Daphnia pulex: one gene and its partner. The protein of the gene in region 1 purifies or fractionates together with the protein of each later gene. This does not show direct contact. Links are inferred from orthologs where the notes say so. Each region holds a gene or a part of one and is shown in the gene's direction. Other genes may lie near its edges.

Evidence for each region. The genes of interacting proteins can lie anywhere in the genome.
Region 2: the proteins of hsp70-binding protein 1-like (region 1) and erythroid differentiation-related factor 1-like purify together in Homo sapiens (affinity purification with mass spectrometry; 3 studies listed by BioGRID and IntAct, counting the BioPlex papers as one, with this or other methods). This does not show direct contact. The link is inferred for Daphnia pulex from reciprocal best matches to the Homo sapiens genes HSPBP1 and EDRF1.

What each region holds. Positions count from the first base shown.
Region 1 is NC_060026.1:16,275,631-16,278,912, reverse strand, and holds hsp70-binding protein 1-like, read left to right. Parts: upstream 1-1,228; 5' UTR 1,229-1,363; coding exon 1,364-1,649; intron 1,650-1,713; coding exon 1,714-1,935; intron 1,936-1,995; coding exon 1,996-2,151; intron 2,152-2,210; coding exon 2,211-2,419; intron 2,420-2,485; coding exon 2,486-2,554; 3' UTR 2,555-2,658; downstream 2,659-3,282. Other genes in the region: nuclear cap-binding protein subunit 2-like, read right to left, coding at 26-124, 183-321, 386-480, 541-627, 773-811. UniProt on the Homo sapiens protein: Inhibits HSPA1A chaperone activity by changing the conformation of the ATP-binding domain of HSPA1A and interfering with ATP binding. Interferes with ubiquitination mediated by STUB1 and inhibits chaperone-assisted degradation of immature CFTR.
Region 2 is NC_060026.1:4,184,136-4,187,891, reverse strand, and holds the start of erythroid differentiation-related factor 1-like, read left to right. Parts: upstream 1-1,508; 5' UTR 1,509-1,859; coding exon 1,860-2,567; intron 2,568-2,631; coding exon 2,632-2,807; intron 2,808-2,878; coding exon 2,879-2,940; intron 2,941-3,010; coding exon 3,011-3,046; intron 3,047-3,111; coding exon 3,112-3,273; intron 3,274-3,359; coding exon 3,360-3,471; intron 3,472-3,532; coding exon 3,533-3,641; intron 3,642-3,709; coding exon 3,710-3,756. UniProt on the Homo sapiens protein: Transcription factor involved in erythroid differentiation. Involved in transcriptional activation of the globin gene.

The sequences.
Region 1 (3,282 bases):
ATGAATACAGTATTTAGAAATGTTATCAATTGTTAGCAGCAGCAGATGTGGCCACCTTCTGCTGAATCATTTTGCCCCATCCTCCTCTGCCACCATCAAAGTCAGTTCGGTATTCATCTCTCACCTGCAAAACAGAAATCCATTAGTTGAGAACAATAAGTTTGAGCTGACGAAATGCTGACCTGTCCTCCAGTTTTGCCTCTGCCATATTGCCTTCCTTCAATGAAGCCAGCATCCCAGTCAGTTCTCACAATTCTGTCATCCAGTCTTGTCCCATTCACAAACCTGATGGCATTTTCTGAATCATTCCTCAGGTAAAACCTTGAAAGATAATTAGAAATAATTAAACACAATTTTGTTATTGGATTTGGTTGCAATGACTTACTCTACAAAACAAAATCCACAAGGGGTCCTAGTAAACTTGTCCAATCCCATGATGATTCTCTTGACATCGCCACATTTCCCAAACAATTCATGGATCTAAAATATTTGAAAAGATGAAATCAAATGGAACCAATTGTTGACTTGGAAGTATTTAACCTGTTCTTCAGTTGTGTAAAAGGACAAGTTTCCAACATACAGGGTGCAAGATTGACTCAACAGACGCTCCTGCTCTACCCGGGAACCCTGAAAGATGGAAATCAGTTATTTTGGCTTGAAATATCAAAATATTTTTAATTATTAAGGTATGCATTTCCATTTAAACATTAATTGCCTCAAAACTGTATATTAAGTTACATTTTCAATTCTGCTATCAACTCATGAGGCTTACTTTGAAATGTTGGTCTCGGTATGTGCTTGGAACCGCCATTTCTACGAATTATTTCGGGAGAACCAATCACACCGTTCACCCCAGTGTCTTCCGAATTAAGTGTCCTTGTATTCAGCCAATCAACCGGCTAAACTTTATGCGTTTTAAATTACTAAAATTGGTGTGGTTTTTTTCTAAAAAAAAGTGTGCGTTGACACAACAAACCTGACGCGAGTGACTTTCGAAAAGATGCTTATGGCGGCCGCTAGGTTACGTCACTTGCTAGAAACCCATTCCGGCGTTAAACTACAATTAAAAACCAAATAAAAATATGACACACTTTCGCAGATTTTTTCAATAATTTTTTAAAATCTCAATGAATTTTATCCAAATCTTAATTAACTTAACAGGTTTGTTTTGTAAATGTCAAAATTTTTTAAGTTATGCGAGTCATGCCTAGATGGCTCTTTTTATTCCAGACTCTTCTTGATTTTGCTAGTAAACAGTTTCATTGACGTCTGCTTGCCCCATGCGTTCACGGTTTAACTTGCGTACTGCGTCTTATTCTTCATAAATATATAACAAGTTGTTGTTGAGATCCTTAGCAAAACAATGGAACCCCCACGACAACCAAGAGATATGCAAGGACTTTTAAGATTTGCCATCGAAGGCACCGCAGCTGAAGATCGTACCACAACCACATCGATGAGTGAAGAAAGGAGACGCTGGTTAGAAGAAGCTCTAAGAGGATTGTCAGTCGACGTTGTAGCCGAAATATCAAAATCGTTAAATATCCTCAATCCAGATCGAGTCGAAAGTCCTGAAGAAGATCCCCAGGAGATGGAGGAAGCATTGGAAATGATTACTGACTTTGCCGATTCCATGGACACGGCTAATGGTATGAGATATCTTTTTTTATTGATTGAATAAAACATTGACACTTGTTTCGCTTGTTTCTCCAGACTTTCACAAGATAGGAGGATTTTTCATCCTCATCCCCTGTTTGAATTCTCCCCACGATGGAGTTCGTTGGAGGTGCTGTCAGTTGATTGGCACCCTCACCCAGAACAACCCATACTGCCAACAGCATGTGCTCAACGAAGACCTATTGCCAATTTTGCTTAAAATGCTGGAAAACGATGACTGTGAAGAGGCGAGAATCAAAGCCCTGTACGCCATTTCATGTAATGAGCAGATTTACAACTCACACTAAGGGAATTCAGTTAACAATTGATTGATTATAGGTTTGACAAGAGAATGTGCAGAAGCCCAGGATGCATTTGTGCATTGTGATGGTTTCTCGTCTTTACTGAGAGCACTGCAATCATCACTCGGGAAACTGAAAATCAAGGCTTCATTCTTGTTGACTTGTTTATGCAATGAGAATCCATCCTTCAAAGGTTTTATTCACATTCATAAGTTTCTCCATTTGTACTCTAACCAATACCCTGTTTACTAGATACTTTATGTAATATGGGATTTGTGGAGCAGTTTGTGGCTCTGCTTCAACGAGATCACGACTCGACTCACGAACATCTACTGGCCGCCTTGCTGGCACTTACCCAGAGCCACCCCCCATCGATCGAGGAGTGCCGTAGATCAGAGTTTCTCTTTCGTGAATTTCTCGACAACCGCATCGAATTAATCGGAGATCGCGACGAATGTCTGGTAATAATTATTAGTCAATACTTGAAAATGAAATCGAATTTTAAACTTTGAATTTTCATTTGATAGGAGGAAGCCGAGTATTGCCGTACTTTGTTGTCGGTGATTTTCAAGGAAGACATTGTCGAAGACAGGTGAAGTTATTGGCATTCGATTGCTGGCAATAGAAAGAGAATTTAAAAAGCAAACAAAGAGGCTCATGATATGGAGGCGCAATACACACACCGACGTCCTTTTGATAATCTTTACGTTTTTGTTTGTTTACTCTCTCGTGAACCATCGAAGCGTGAACGGTGTTCTCTAATTTTGTTATCGTAATCTACCAATCCTATTGATCCTCAAGATTGTTGTGGTCATTACAATCCTAAAGAATACATATGTATTAACAAGAAGGTCTCTGCTGAAAAAGTTTGTAGGTAACAGGCAAAATTTAATTGTTTTAAATGCATCAGTTAAAAATAAGAAAAGAAATTAAAGCGATTGTGAAATGTCCTCCTCCAACATCAATCCAGTAAAATGAGTAAAGTGGCGATAATCGTCGAATAAAATCACTCCCTTTGTCGGAAGCATTCGCCTTTTACGACGGGCTGCAGTACCGTCGCCAATCAACGGAGGCAACAAGGAATCTATTTGCAACCAGATTTGATCACCAGGTAATAGATTGAGCGTCGAATGCAACGTCACGGGAGTGAATTGCCCTGCAACGGTGTTTTGGTCTTCAACGAAACCTCTTCCAATAAGATTTCCATTCAAATACAAATCCACGCCTAAATAGAGCAGAGAGGAAAATGTTGGGAATTCGGCCAATCCTGTGAACGAAAAGTAATAAGTTCCAGCTCTAGGAGCGGTGAAAACCCCAGTCGTCA
Region 2 (3,756 bases), about 12 Mb from region 1:
TTTGCTCTTTTCTTCTCCCCCCCTCTAGCCGTTCGGTCGTTAGGTCCCGCGCACGGTATTGATTTTTTCCTCTCTCTTTACAGCTTCTCTTCTTGCTCCTCCTCCTGCCTCGTGCTGTACGATTCTCCAGGAATCGGTTGCTCTTCACCACTTGGTGCTGCAAGATACAGTACACACACTTGACTATACACACATATAGGCTTTAGCTTGAGTCTCATGTTTCCCGAATATAGTATATCGCCCACTGCATAATAGATCTTATTTATCGACTCGACCGTTTGCCATCCAGCACTCCCCCCGGAAGGCCTAGACTCTACACTGACGATTGTGATTAACCTCACGTATATACACACACAGACACACAGGAGGTATCAAAGGGGGGGGGGGGGACGATTGGACTCGGCGGGGCGGAAAGAACAGAAAATAAAGGGCGCACGACCTATTCTTTTTGCCATCCAGCGTGACCCCCTCTCGTGCCACATCTAACAAGTTCCGAGTTTTTCATTCGCCCATTCCGTTTTTTCTCAATCGATAGATAAAACGAAATCATCACAAAGTGGGAGAGAGCTCGGGGAGGTCGATATGCTTGTCTTAACTTGTGTGTGTGTATATTGTACAACTACTACCTTGATTTTCCTAAGGAGTTTAGTTCAATCGGTTTTTTGGCCGCGCTTGATCGTGTCGTGAATTGACCGCCCTCCTCCCACGCACTCCTGTGTCCGTTCTCTGCTGCACTTGACAGAAAAGTCGACGTGAAGGACACGCAACGTCGATCCTATGACGTATAGACTTCTCAAGGCACTCACTCTGATTAGAATGGCTTTCCAAGAGACTGAACTTTTATTAATGGCCATGCGTTCCAGCCATCTCGGCGGGACCACCTCTCTCCCTGGCTGATGCCGCATAATGCCGGAAGATTGAAAGTCTCCGCATTCAACGATCCAGTCGGATGCTCTCACCAAGGCCGTCTGCTATTTTGTTTTTTGGCTGTTGCTTCCTGTCATATTTTTTTCTGTTTTTTCTCCCGAGTTCTTAATTAGGTAACGTAGCTCGTCAACACAGTGGTATAGGTGCCCCCCTCCACCCTTTTCTACGCTTCCTGGCAAATAGACGGACTAATTGATGAGCGTCGGTTGATTTGTTAGAATCAGTAAAAAAGAGGCGAGAGAGATAGAGAGGAAAAGAAACGAAAATTTTGGACGGAATCCAGGCAAGTTTACCATATTAACTTACCTCTCAACTGGCCAATTGACGACGAAGTCGGTGAATCATGACGTAAATGTGTTGTTAATAATTTTTTTTTCGAGTTCAATCAATGGGAGGAGGTAACACAAGGAAAACTGGAGGCGTGTTTCTCGTTGTCGGTACTGTGCAACATGAGTGTACCGACTGTGGAGATGTTACACTATTCACTGCTCCGCCGGAGTTTTCCGTCCAGGAAAAAACCGGTGAGTTCTATAGCGATTGCGCTGTTCATAGTCCCCGCCTCGGCCTCAACGCAGCAGTTTGGAACTTTTGGTTGTAAAACAAACGGAACCAACATCCCCTGGTGGCTTGTAGATATTCGCAGTACATAACAACGGATATTTGTTCTACTAATTATTATTATTCCCTGCATTAACAAACATGATTACTCGTTTGCCAGTAAGACAATCAAATAAAACTACTAGGAATGAGCATTCTAGAAGAAAGCTTCACGCCAACTTGACGTCTAATAATAGCAGTCAGCCTAGCAAGAAGAGGCATCTGTTATTATTACCCGACTGTTTTGATCCTTCGAAAGTGCTGGAATTGACTGGAAAAACGTGTTGATTGAGTTCTCCCGCAGTGTCGGGTGTCGTTTTTTTTTAGTTGACATTATGGAGTCGTGCGAAGAGGACGACGAAAAGGAGAGAACATTGCAGATGAGTAGCCCTGCGAACGATTTGACGATTGATATTTATCGTCCACTTCTTAGCAAAGATTCTGAACATGAAAACGAAGGAAAGAGAATCAAATCATTTGCTTTTGATTTGCATTCGACAGTCAGTATTCCTCCACGATTATCTTTATTACAGAGCAACACCGACTTGAACACACCACCAGCTAATTGGTTGCTAAGTCATCCTAAGAAGATAGTTGGGCCAGCTGTTTCCAGGAATCCAAAGTCAACAGAATTTGCCAGTTTTCACATGGCTTCATCTTTTTTAGATTCCATGGGTGAAGTTGATGTGGTGAGTGATGCAGAAAATATCAAGAAGCTTCTGAAGATACCGTACAGCAAAAGTGCTGTCAGTATGATGGTTCATCGTGTTGGAAACACACTGCTGCTCGATGAATTTGACATCCACACTCACCTTCTGAGAGCAGCTGAAAACGAATGGGGTTGGCTGAAGAAGTTTTATTTGGAACACATTTTTGCCTCCTGTCGTGCTAAGCAAAAAGCCTCAGACAAGAAATCCAGCCGGCACAGTCGCGACTACCTGCAGCAACAAAACCTCATCTCAAAATTTCTCTATCACAGTATAGCCCTTAATGAGTCAGAAAATGCAGACACCCAAGTTCAGGACAGGAATCATCAAGTTCAGGTAAAATTGTGTACTATTTAAAGTGCTTATAATTTGAATTCTTAGTAACACAAGTCTTTTCCAGCCTGTAATTGATCCTCTTGGTGATCCTGTTCCAGAAGAAAGTCATGTTCACGATGATGCTCTTCCCCAGTTTTCTAAAAATATCATATGGACATTTGAAGATTTGCGGATGTTAATTGGTACAGATATGCCTATTTTTGGCGGTGGGACTCACCCGTGTCTTTCGCTTCGCTTAAGGTAAGCCTTAAGTCAAGCAAATTTACTTGATAGCTAAAATGAATAATTCTTTTATTTTGTCAATTGATCAGAGATATGTCGAAGCCAATTAATGTGCTAACAGGACTGGACTACTGGCTTGACAACTTGATGTGTATGTCATATACCTGCTATTTCTTTGTTTAACATCTTGTAACCGAGTTTTTTAATGATTATATTTGTAGGCAATGTTCCTGAAGTTGTGATGTGCTATCATTTGGGTAAATAGCGTCGCGCTACGTGAAAAACTGGAAAAATTGTTGTTAAATTCTTTTAATGGTTACAGGTGGTCTGGTCCAAAAATACGAGCTTATTAAAACGGACGATTTACCACGCCTACCGGGATCGCAGTTTAAGCCGGGTATTATTAAAGATGTCGCACAAAACATTCTCTCTTTCCTAAAGTCTAAAGCCACAAAAGCCGGCCACACTTATTGGCTGTTCAAAGGTAAAATAATTTTTACTTAAGCAATCAAGGAAATTATTCAAATTAAGATCTCACATTAAATTTTTCGTGTCTTCATCGTGAAACAGCAAAAGACGATGATATTGTGAAGCTTTACGATCTTACTTCGTTGTGCAATGATTTGAATGAAGACATCAACCAGAATCCATTTACGACACCAGTTGCCATGCTACTTTTCAAGTAAAATTGTTTGCCAATGCGAATTGTAAATTGTTTAATGAATGCGTATGTGTTTTTTTAGAGTGGCGCGAAATTTGAAAATGTCCAGCGACTGGAAGCGACATCAAGGCACTGTCTTAGCTCTTTTAAAGAACTGCTTATCCCTTCTTGATGCAACCAAATATCCACAGGTAGCAATATTTTTTAATAATATTTCTTGGTTTTTTTTTAAATGTCAGGTTCAATGCGTATTTTTTAGGTCGCCACGTCTGCTTTGTACTATTTATCTGACGTCTATTTGCCAAC